Linked DNA regions of Oryctolagus cuniculus. The protein of the gene in region 1 interacts with the protein of each later gene in a pairwise test. Links are inferred from orthologs where the notes say so. Each region holds a gene or a part of one and is shown on either strand. Other genes may lie near its edges.

The links.
Region 2: the proteins of GCC1 (region 1) and CEP57 interact in binary tests that used the Homo sapiens proteins (3 or more experiments, as listed by UniProt). The two-hybrid records come from large-scale screens. The link is inferred for Oryctolagus cuniculus from reciprocal best matches to the Homo sapiens genes GCC1 and CEP57.

The regions. Positions count from the first base shown.
Region 1 is NC_091434.1:164,051,275-164,055,577, forward strand, and holds the start of GCC1 (GRIP and coiled-coil domain-containing protein 1), read right to left. Parts: upstream 2,837-4,303; coding exon 1,805-2,836; intron 971-1,804; coding exon 1-970. UniProt on the Homo sapiens protein: Probably involved in maintaining Golgi structure.
Region 2 is NC_091432.1:87,262,548-87,266,113, reverse strand, and holds part of CEP57 (centrosomal protein of 57 kDa), read right to left. Parts: intron 2,140-3,566; coding exon 1,909-2,139; 3' UTR 1-1,908. UniProt on the Homo sapiens protein: Centrosomal protein which may be required for microtubule attachment to centrosomes. May act by forming ring-like structures around microtubules. Mediates nuclear translocation and mitogenic activity of the internalized growth factor FGF2, but that of FGF1.

The DNA of each region.
Region 1 (4,303 bases):
TGATCTCCACCTCCTTGCGGGCCAACTGCTCGGCGTACAGGAAGAACGTGGGCTCGTTGCCCGCAGCAAGCTGCAGTGCTTGGGTCAGGCTATCTGGGGCAGACGGGTCGGCCGGGTCCCCTGGAGCCCCGGCCCCCACCGGGCTTCTGCGCCCTGGCAGCCCAGAAGACAAGGCCACGGCGCGCAGCTGCTCCAGCTCCAGGTCCTTCTCGGCGAGCACGGCCAGGGCCCGGTCCCGCTGCTTGTGCAGCTCCTCCTCCAGTTTCAGCGTGCGGTCCCTGAAGTCCAGCCGGCTGCGCTCCAGCTCGTGCCGGTGCAGCTGCTGCAGCCGGGCCAGCTCCTGCTTCCAGGCCTCTGCCTCCCCCTGGTGCTGCCGCTCCAGCTCCTCACACGACAGCCGCAGGGAGATGTACTTCTCCTTCAGCTCGGCAAGCTGCTCCTGGGCGGCCTCCAGCTCCTTCGCCACGTTGCCATCTTTGGCATTCTTGCTCTTGAGGACAACCTGGGCCCTCATCTTATACCGTTCGAATTCTTCCTTCAGCTGCTTCAGCTCCTGCTGGTAGTAGAGCGCAGAAGCCTTCTCCCCATCAGTGGCGTCTGAGCTGCCCACCGTGTCCAGGTCACAGAGCTTCTCCACATCCAGGGTCACCTGGCTCTTCCTGGCGGCCACCTGCAGCAGTCTCTTCAGCTTCTCCATCTTATCCCTGAGGACGTTGACGTCCAGGCTGGACTCCTCCCCATGGCTGTCTAGAGGGGACCGGCTGGAGGCTGCCAGGGCCAGGGTCTTGTTCTCCAGGTCCAGCTGCAGAACGCGCTCCTTCAGCTTCTGGATGGCCAGCTGGTCCTTCTGCTTTGCCTTCTCGTACGTGCCCAGCAGCTCAGACACCTCAGATATCTGATTCTCCAGGGACGCCACCCTCTGCTCTTCCACCTGAGACTGCTGGCGGAGCTGATCTTCCGCAAGGGCTGTCTGCCAAAGACAAGACCAGAATACGGTCAGAAAAGTCACAAAGCCCCATGGCAAACTTTGTGTGCGTGTGTCCGGGGAGGAGGGCGACCGAGGGGAGCGTTTGGGGATTTTTCCGTTGATGCAGGATCCAACAGAAGTTCCTCTACCTGCTTGGGTTCTGCCCCCAAATACATATCATCTCAAACGATATGAAGCACCTCTGCACACCTGCTGTCACTCTGCTTTAGCGCTTCCACTTTCTCCTATCAGCTCACACCCAGCTTTGCTGTCTATCATATGTCACCTCACCCCGAACCCTATCATGAAATTACAGGACTTTGCTTTTCTCTTTCTCTATTCCTGGAAGTACAAAACTGAGTTGGATCTCCCTCCACCTGGACAGCAGACACTGTCATGACAGACAAACCTTGACAGAAAGCAATTACCATGGTTTATTTCTTCTGGGAAAATCCCTCTAGCTGCCTTCAGCTACCCTGCCCATGGGTACACAGCTACAGGCACACACTCGCTCTTTCACTGCACAGCGGCCGCTCGATGGCAGCTCGGAGAGCAGCTGGTACAGTGCCAACGCCCAGCAGCTCAGAGGGGCCTGGCTCCGACCCAGCCTAGGCTCGGAAACTCCACATCCTGTTGCAAGCACACTCCCAGGAGCTGGTCAACACCACCGCAGGAAAGGCTTTTCCAGGGCTCCCTGGTGCAACTTTTCAAGTAGCAGCAAAAATGACAGTGCAGCCACTTAGTTCTAAGTACCAAAGGAGGAGGGAAAAACAAAACCCCTCTTATCTCGCACTTCAAGCGAAATGACGGATATGTGAAGGAGATGAGGATAATTACCTTTCTCATTTCCTGCTGCAGCTGAGCCTGGAAATGGCTCTTGAGGCGAGCGGCCTCTTCCTGAAGCTCTTGGAGCCGGGGGTCCGGTCGATTCTTCTCCTCTCGGATGGCCTGCAGTTCACCTTTCAGCTCCTCCACCTGCCGGCTCAGCTGCTTGGTCTGCAGTTCGAAGCCTTCCATCTGCTCGGCTGCATAGGCCCGCCCGGCCAGGGCTTCCCGCGTCTCTTCCAGCCGAAGCTCCAGGTCCTGACGCTGGGTCCTCTCCTCCTGCAGCAGCTTCTGGAGCTCCCGGAGCATCAGGGCATGGTCACTCTGCTCCTGGGCCCTATCATGCTGCTGCGTGATCAGCCGGGCTTTGGTTTCGGCTATCTGCTCCTGCAGCCCCTTCAATTCTCCCTCCAGGCGGCCCCTCTCCTCTTCCGCCTTCTTATTGGCATCCTCTAGGTCCTGTTTCATCTTCTTCTTGTCGGCCAGGTAAGAAGCCTCCATGCGGGACTTCTCCTGGGTGACTGTAGCCAAAGAGCTGGTCAAAGTAGCCAGCTGAGTCTTCAGCTGGTGCAACCTCTTGTCCACCTCCCCACCTGCAAACGGCCCATCCCCACTGCTGCTGCTAACGCCGCTCTCCGACCCACTGGCCTCTTCCGACTTCGCAGGCGGTGGTCCGCGGGCCGGTCTGTCATCTTCTACCCCAAACTCACCCTTGATGCTGCTCAGACTGGCCGCAGTGTCCAGGCTGGTGGCGGTGCCGGTGCTATCCTCGCTGTGAGTGGAGCACCGGTCATCCACAGAGTCAGAGAAGGTGAGGCCTGGAGGCTGGACACCTGCGAGGCCCACATCCGCCTCGTGGGATACCGACAGCACCTTGATGCTGGCCTCCAGCGCCTCCTTCTCCTTCAGCAAGCTTTTGTAGGCGCGGACCACGTCCTTGAGCCTGGCCTGGTACTGGAGGAGCTGCTTCTTCTGAGACTCGATGGTTTCCAGCAGGTCCTTCTTGCTCGGGCCGCCCCCAAAATTCATCCCAAACTTCTCCATGGGGGCTGTGACCGAGCTGCTCCACGTCAGCGTTCCAGCAGTCCAGGAGAGCGACGCGACTACGCGGGCGGAGCCAGCAGGCGACGAGGAAAAGGTTGTCCCGCCGCGGCCGCACAGCTGCTCCACAGAGGTGTCCAAGCCCGGATGCGGGGTGGCGGGGCCGCCGGACAGAGGCCAGGGGGGCGGGAGCGGGTCCGCTCCTGGAGGCGGGGCGACGCTGGCGCGACAGGAGCTCCCGGCCTGGGAGCGCCCGCGCTAGCCTCGAAGCTGCTCCGCCCTCTCCGCTCCTCCGGGCCTCATCGGCCCGGCCCCGGCCGGCCCCCTCGGCCCACAGTTGGCTACAGGTTTACGCCGCGGGTGGCTCCATCTCGACTTCTTAACTACCGCAACCGGCCGACCACAGAGCTTCCGGGTCCGCAGGAAGTGACGCCAGCGCGTCGCCCTAGGCTCCGCCCCTACCGGCCGCGAGGTGGGCGGGGCTCCTTTAACTGGGGCTGCGGAGAAGTGCTGCCGGGAACCTCGGGGGCCGGGGCTTGCGGAGAGCGAAGGAAAGGAAGTTGAGGACCAGCGAGCGCAGTTGGTTTGCCCTTGGGCTGCGATCCGCGACCGACAGGGGGCGACGTTGCACTGCATTCTTAACAAACACTCCAGTGACCCATGCGTCCAGCCACAAGGACTTGGGGCTCAGGACCTGTGTCCCTAAAGGCCAACAATAAATGTTCCCATTAGGGCTATGAACACTGCAGCCCTTCCTAACACGGCACTTGGCACCTAGCTGGCTTATGGAATGCACATGGCACCTTACCATAGTTCCGTTGAGTTTAGTCAACGAATATTGATAGAGGACACCTTGCCGCCATGAGGTTCATCCTGAATGCGAACTATACGCCGGGAACCTCACAAGAAAATTGTTATTTAGGGGCGGGCATTGGGGCACAGAAGCTTAAGCGGACGCTTGGGATACCCGCATCCACTATGTGAGTGCAGGTTGAGTCCCCGCTTCTTCGCTTACCACCCAGTTTCCTGCTAATGCCCTTCTGGGAGGCAGCAGAAGGTAGCCCAGGTCGCTGGGTCCCTGAGACCTGGGTAAGAGTTCCTGGCTCCTGGCTTTGGTCTGACTGGTTCCTGGCTGTTGCAGGCATTTGGGGAGTGAAGCAGCAGATGGAAAAATCTTTCCCTTCTCTGTCTCTCCCTCTAGGTCACTTTGCCTTTCGAAGGAAGGAAGGCAGGAAGCAGGATTTTGCTATTTATTCTCCTGTGCAGATACATTAGCACTGTTTTACAGATGGGACATAAGGCACAGAGGTAAAGTAAGGGTCGGCGCTGTGGCAAAGCAGGTGAAGCTGCTCATTAAAATCCTGGCTGCTCCACTTGAGATCCAGCTCCCTGCTAATGTGACCACTCACGTGGGAGACCCAGGAAAAGTTCTTGGCTCCTGGCTTTGGATCGGCACAGCTCCAGCCATTG
Region 2 (3,566 bases), on another chromosome or scaffold:
GGCACCAGTTGTGTCCCAGCTGCTCCTCTTCAGATCCAGCTCTCTGCTTATGGCCTGGGAAGGCAGTGGCAGATGGTCCAAGTGTTTAAGGCCCCTAAACCTGCGTGGGAGACCTGGAAGAAGCTCCTGGCGCCTGGCTTCAGACTGGCTCAGCTCCAGTTGTTGTGGCCATTTGAGGAGTGAACCAGTGGATGGAAGACCTTTATGTCTCTCCCTCTCTCTGTAACTACTTTTCAAATAAAGTCTTAAAAAAATATCAAAAGCTAGAATGGTTATTTCAGTTTTAATTCTAGTTGAGAGATGAGGTGTTTTGTACCAATTACTTACTTTTCTAATTAGAACTTTGAGCCATTACAATTCAAATGACTTTTAGACAATTTAATGACCTGAAATTCAAACAAGGAGATGACAAAAGTTTAACAGCTGAAAACAGGAGAAACATTTACCAGGTCACCAGAGTAATGATTCTCACCTTCGGACTCCTGTTATAGATATGATGAAGCTGCAAACCTGCTCATCAGAAAATCATACACACAGGCAAAATTTATGTGTAATTTCAGGAAATTCACAAATCCTGCCAAATCAGGATGCTAAGTTAACAGCTCTAACCCTAGAAAATAGAACAAGAGTATTACAGTGCCCAAGAAGTCACACAGCTCATGCTTGTCATCCTAAAACTTCATCTTAACAAACTTCAGCAAAAGCATTTAAGAATTTCTTTACAGGTGGCTAATGTTTTCATTAGCATACCCTACCATACAAGGATGAGATAATTTTGTTGGTGATAAACTTACATGTAAACATGAGAATGGCAAATAAATACTATATATTCTTACTGTTTCTCAGTCAACATGATGCTGTCCTATTTAGACATGCACTTTTCAAAGTTTACAATAAATGAAGCCTTTATTAACAGATTAACAGATTGTTAAGGAAAGTTTGTTTCCTTAAAGAAGCTGTTTCACTGACTTCAGTGGCAATCTTATAAAATGTTAAATCTAAAAATTACTTAAAATTATGACTTACATTAACATAATTGTGTGTACAGTTTATATTGCACTCTATATATGAAAAAAAAAACAGATATTCAAGGGATTCTCTAAGTTCCAAGGTTAAAAACCACAATACCTTGACTAAATAACATGATTACAAAGTTACTAAACACAGCATATGAGTATGCTTCACATCTCCTTTCTCTCTCCCATTTGTCACTTTATTCTAAAATTTCATTCACAGTTTATATTATTAATAAGACTTTTACTAATTTTTACAGGTAACTGACTACACTTTAAAAATTTTAAACAATTAAAAAGCAATACAAATGAATTTAATATTGATCAATGTTTGATCACAATGGATCAAATGAAGTGCCAAAAGCAAACCAAAACAATTCTTTTAAATATATAAATATTTAAATATAAGAACTATGTCATCAAATAGTTAAAGCATACTAATGGTTCTAGACGAAAGAGGAAGTGGGCAATTTCTGTCAGAGAAAGATTAAAAAATGAGAATTTTTAAGCAAACACTGCCTTTGAGACAGCCACTTGTTTTTAAAAAGTTAAACCCAATTTTATTTATATATAAAAACTAATTTTAAAAATCACACCCACAAGTAAAAAACTGGTAATGTGTTTACAAAGTACAATGTATCAGAGTACAGCAAATTCATCTCAAAGAAACAGTCTGTGTGGCTTCTCAAACTTTAAAATTCCCTTGGCTTCCACGGAAATGGTTAACATTTAGTGAGGCTGCAAAAAACACACACAGTCTATGTATGAAGCGTGAGCCTCTTAACACTTGCTATTAACTAATTTCAACATCAGATAGTATGTGACCTGGAAAATTAATTGTCAACATCTGATTGAGGAGGTACGTATTATCCGAATAAAATTTATGACCTGATAGTCAGTAATCCCAACACAAATCACCACTTTGTAATGAACTCTGTATGGTTTGCATGTCCTTCAATAACTGAAGATTTTTTCTGCTTTTTTCTCCAGGTCTCAATTTGGTATAATCCTTCTTATTTGTGTTCCCTGTGATTCCAGAACGGTTGCTACTGCTTCCTTCTTCTTCAGGGGTCTTCTTTGTGGCTCTTAATTCCTTCTTTTGCTTCTCTGTCTTCTGTTTCTCCAGCTACACCAAATAAAAATGCAGGGAAAAAAAAAGGAAAACATTTTCTTCTAACAATTAGGAAAACATTTTCTTACAGTCAGTACCTTTTTAGAAAATAACTCCCATAATGACCTGAAACAAAACTAATATATTCTAGGTTTACTATTTTAAAGATTCAAAAATCTGTAAACACCATTTAACATTCTACCCTCAAATACACAACAATATGCACACCAGTAAAGAGTTTTATGATACAGCCAGCATCAAAATTAAAATAGTGTTGTTGTCAAATGCAGAACTGATTGAAAAGCAAGACAAGGTATGACTTGGGAGATGATTCATGGAAGTAGCAAAAAAATCAGACATGGAAAAACATACAGGAAGAATTCTGACAGGAAGATGAGGAGAAAGGCATGGTAGAAACTAAGTCTTGAGTCTGAGCAAATTCCAGATGAGGAAATGCAGTGGTAATTACTACTAAAAATTTTACTCAATCCATTTACTAAAGAATAACTAAGTAGGAAAACATTTTTACTTTAGCTCAACTGCTGCTAGCAGTTGGTGCTCCCTTTGAGAAAATAAAACCAAGTCCAATGTACAAGAACAGGTCAGACTGTTACTCCCTACAGAAACAAGCCTGTATTTCTTTCTTGAACATGAACTATGGAAAAAGTACTTAAAAATCTAAGTTTCACCTAAGAATAACTGTGTGTTAATCACAGAGTTCAACCAATAGCACTAGAACAAAACAGAGAAAATACTAAAATGGATAAAGTATTACATTGTACATCAACAGTCAGGAGAAGAGCTGATCAGGTCACTGTTTCTCATAGTGTCAATTTCACTTCAACAGGTTTCCCCTTTGGTGCTCAGTTGTCGCCGATCAGGGAGAACATATGATATTTGTCCCTTTGAGACTGGCTTAATTCACTCAGCATGATGTTTTACAGATTCCTCCATCTTGTTGCAAATGACCGGATTTCATTGTTTTTGACTGCTGTATAGTATTCTATAGAGTACATGTCCCATAATTTCTTTATCCAGTCTACTGTTGATGGGCATTTGGGTTGGTTCCAGGTCTTAGCTATTGTGAATTGAGCTGCAATAAACATTAGGGTGCAGACAGCTTGTTTGTTTGCCAATTTAAATTCCTTTGGGTAAATTCCAAGGAGTGGTATGGCTGGGTTGAATGGTAGGGTTATATTCAGGTTTCTGAGGAATCTCCAAACTGACTTCCATAGTGGCTTAACCAATTTGCATTCCCACCAACAGTGGGTTAGTGTCCCTTTTTCCCCACATCCTCGCCAGCATCTACTGTTGGTAGATTTCTGAATGTGAGCCATTCTAACTGGGGTGAGGTGAAACCTCATTGTGGTTTTAATTTGCATTTCCCTGATTGCTAGTGATCTTGAACATTTTTTCATGTGTCTGTTGGCCATTTGGATTTC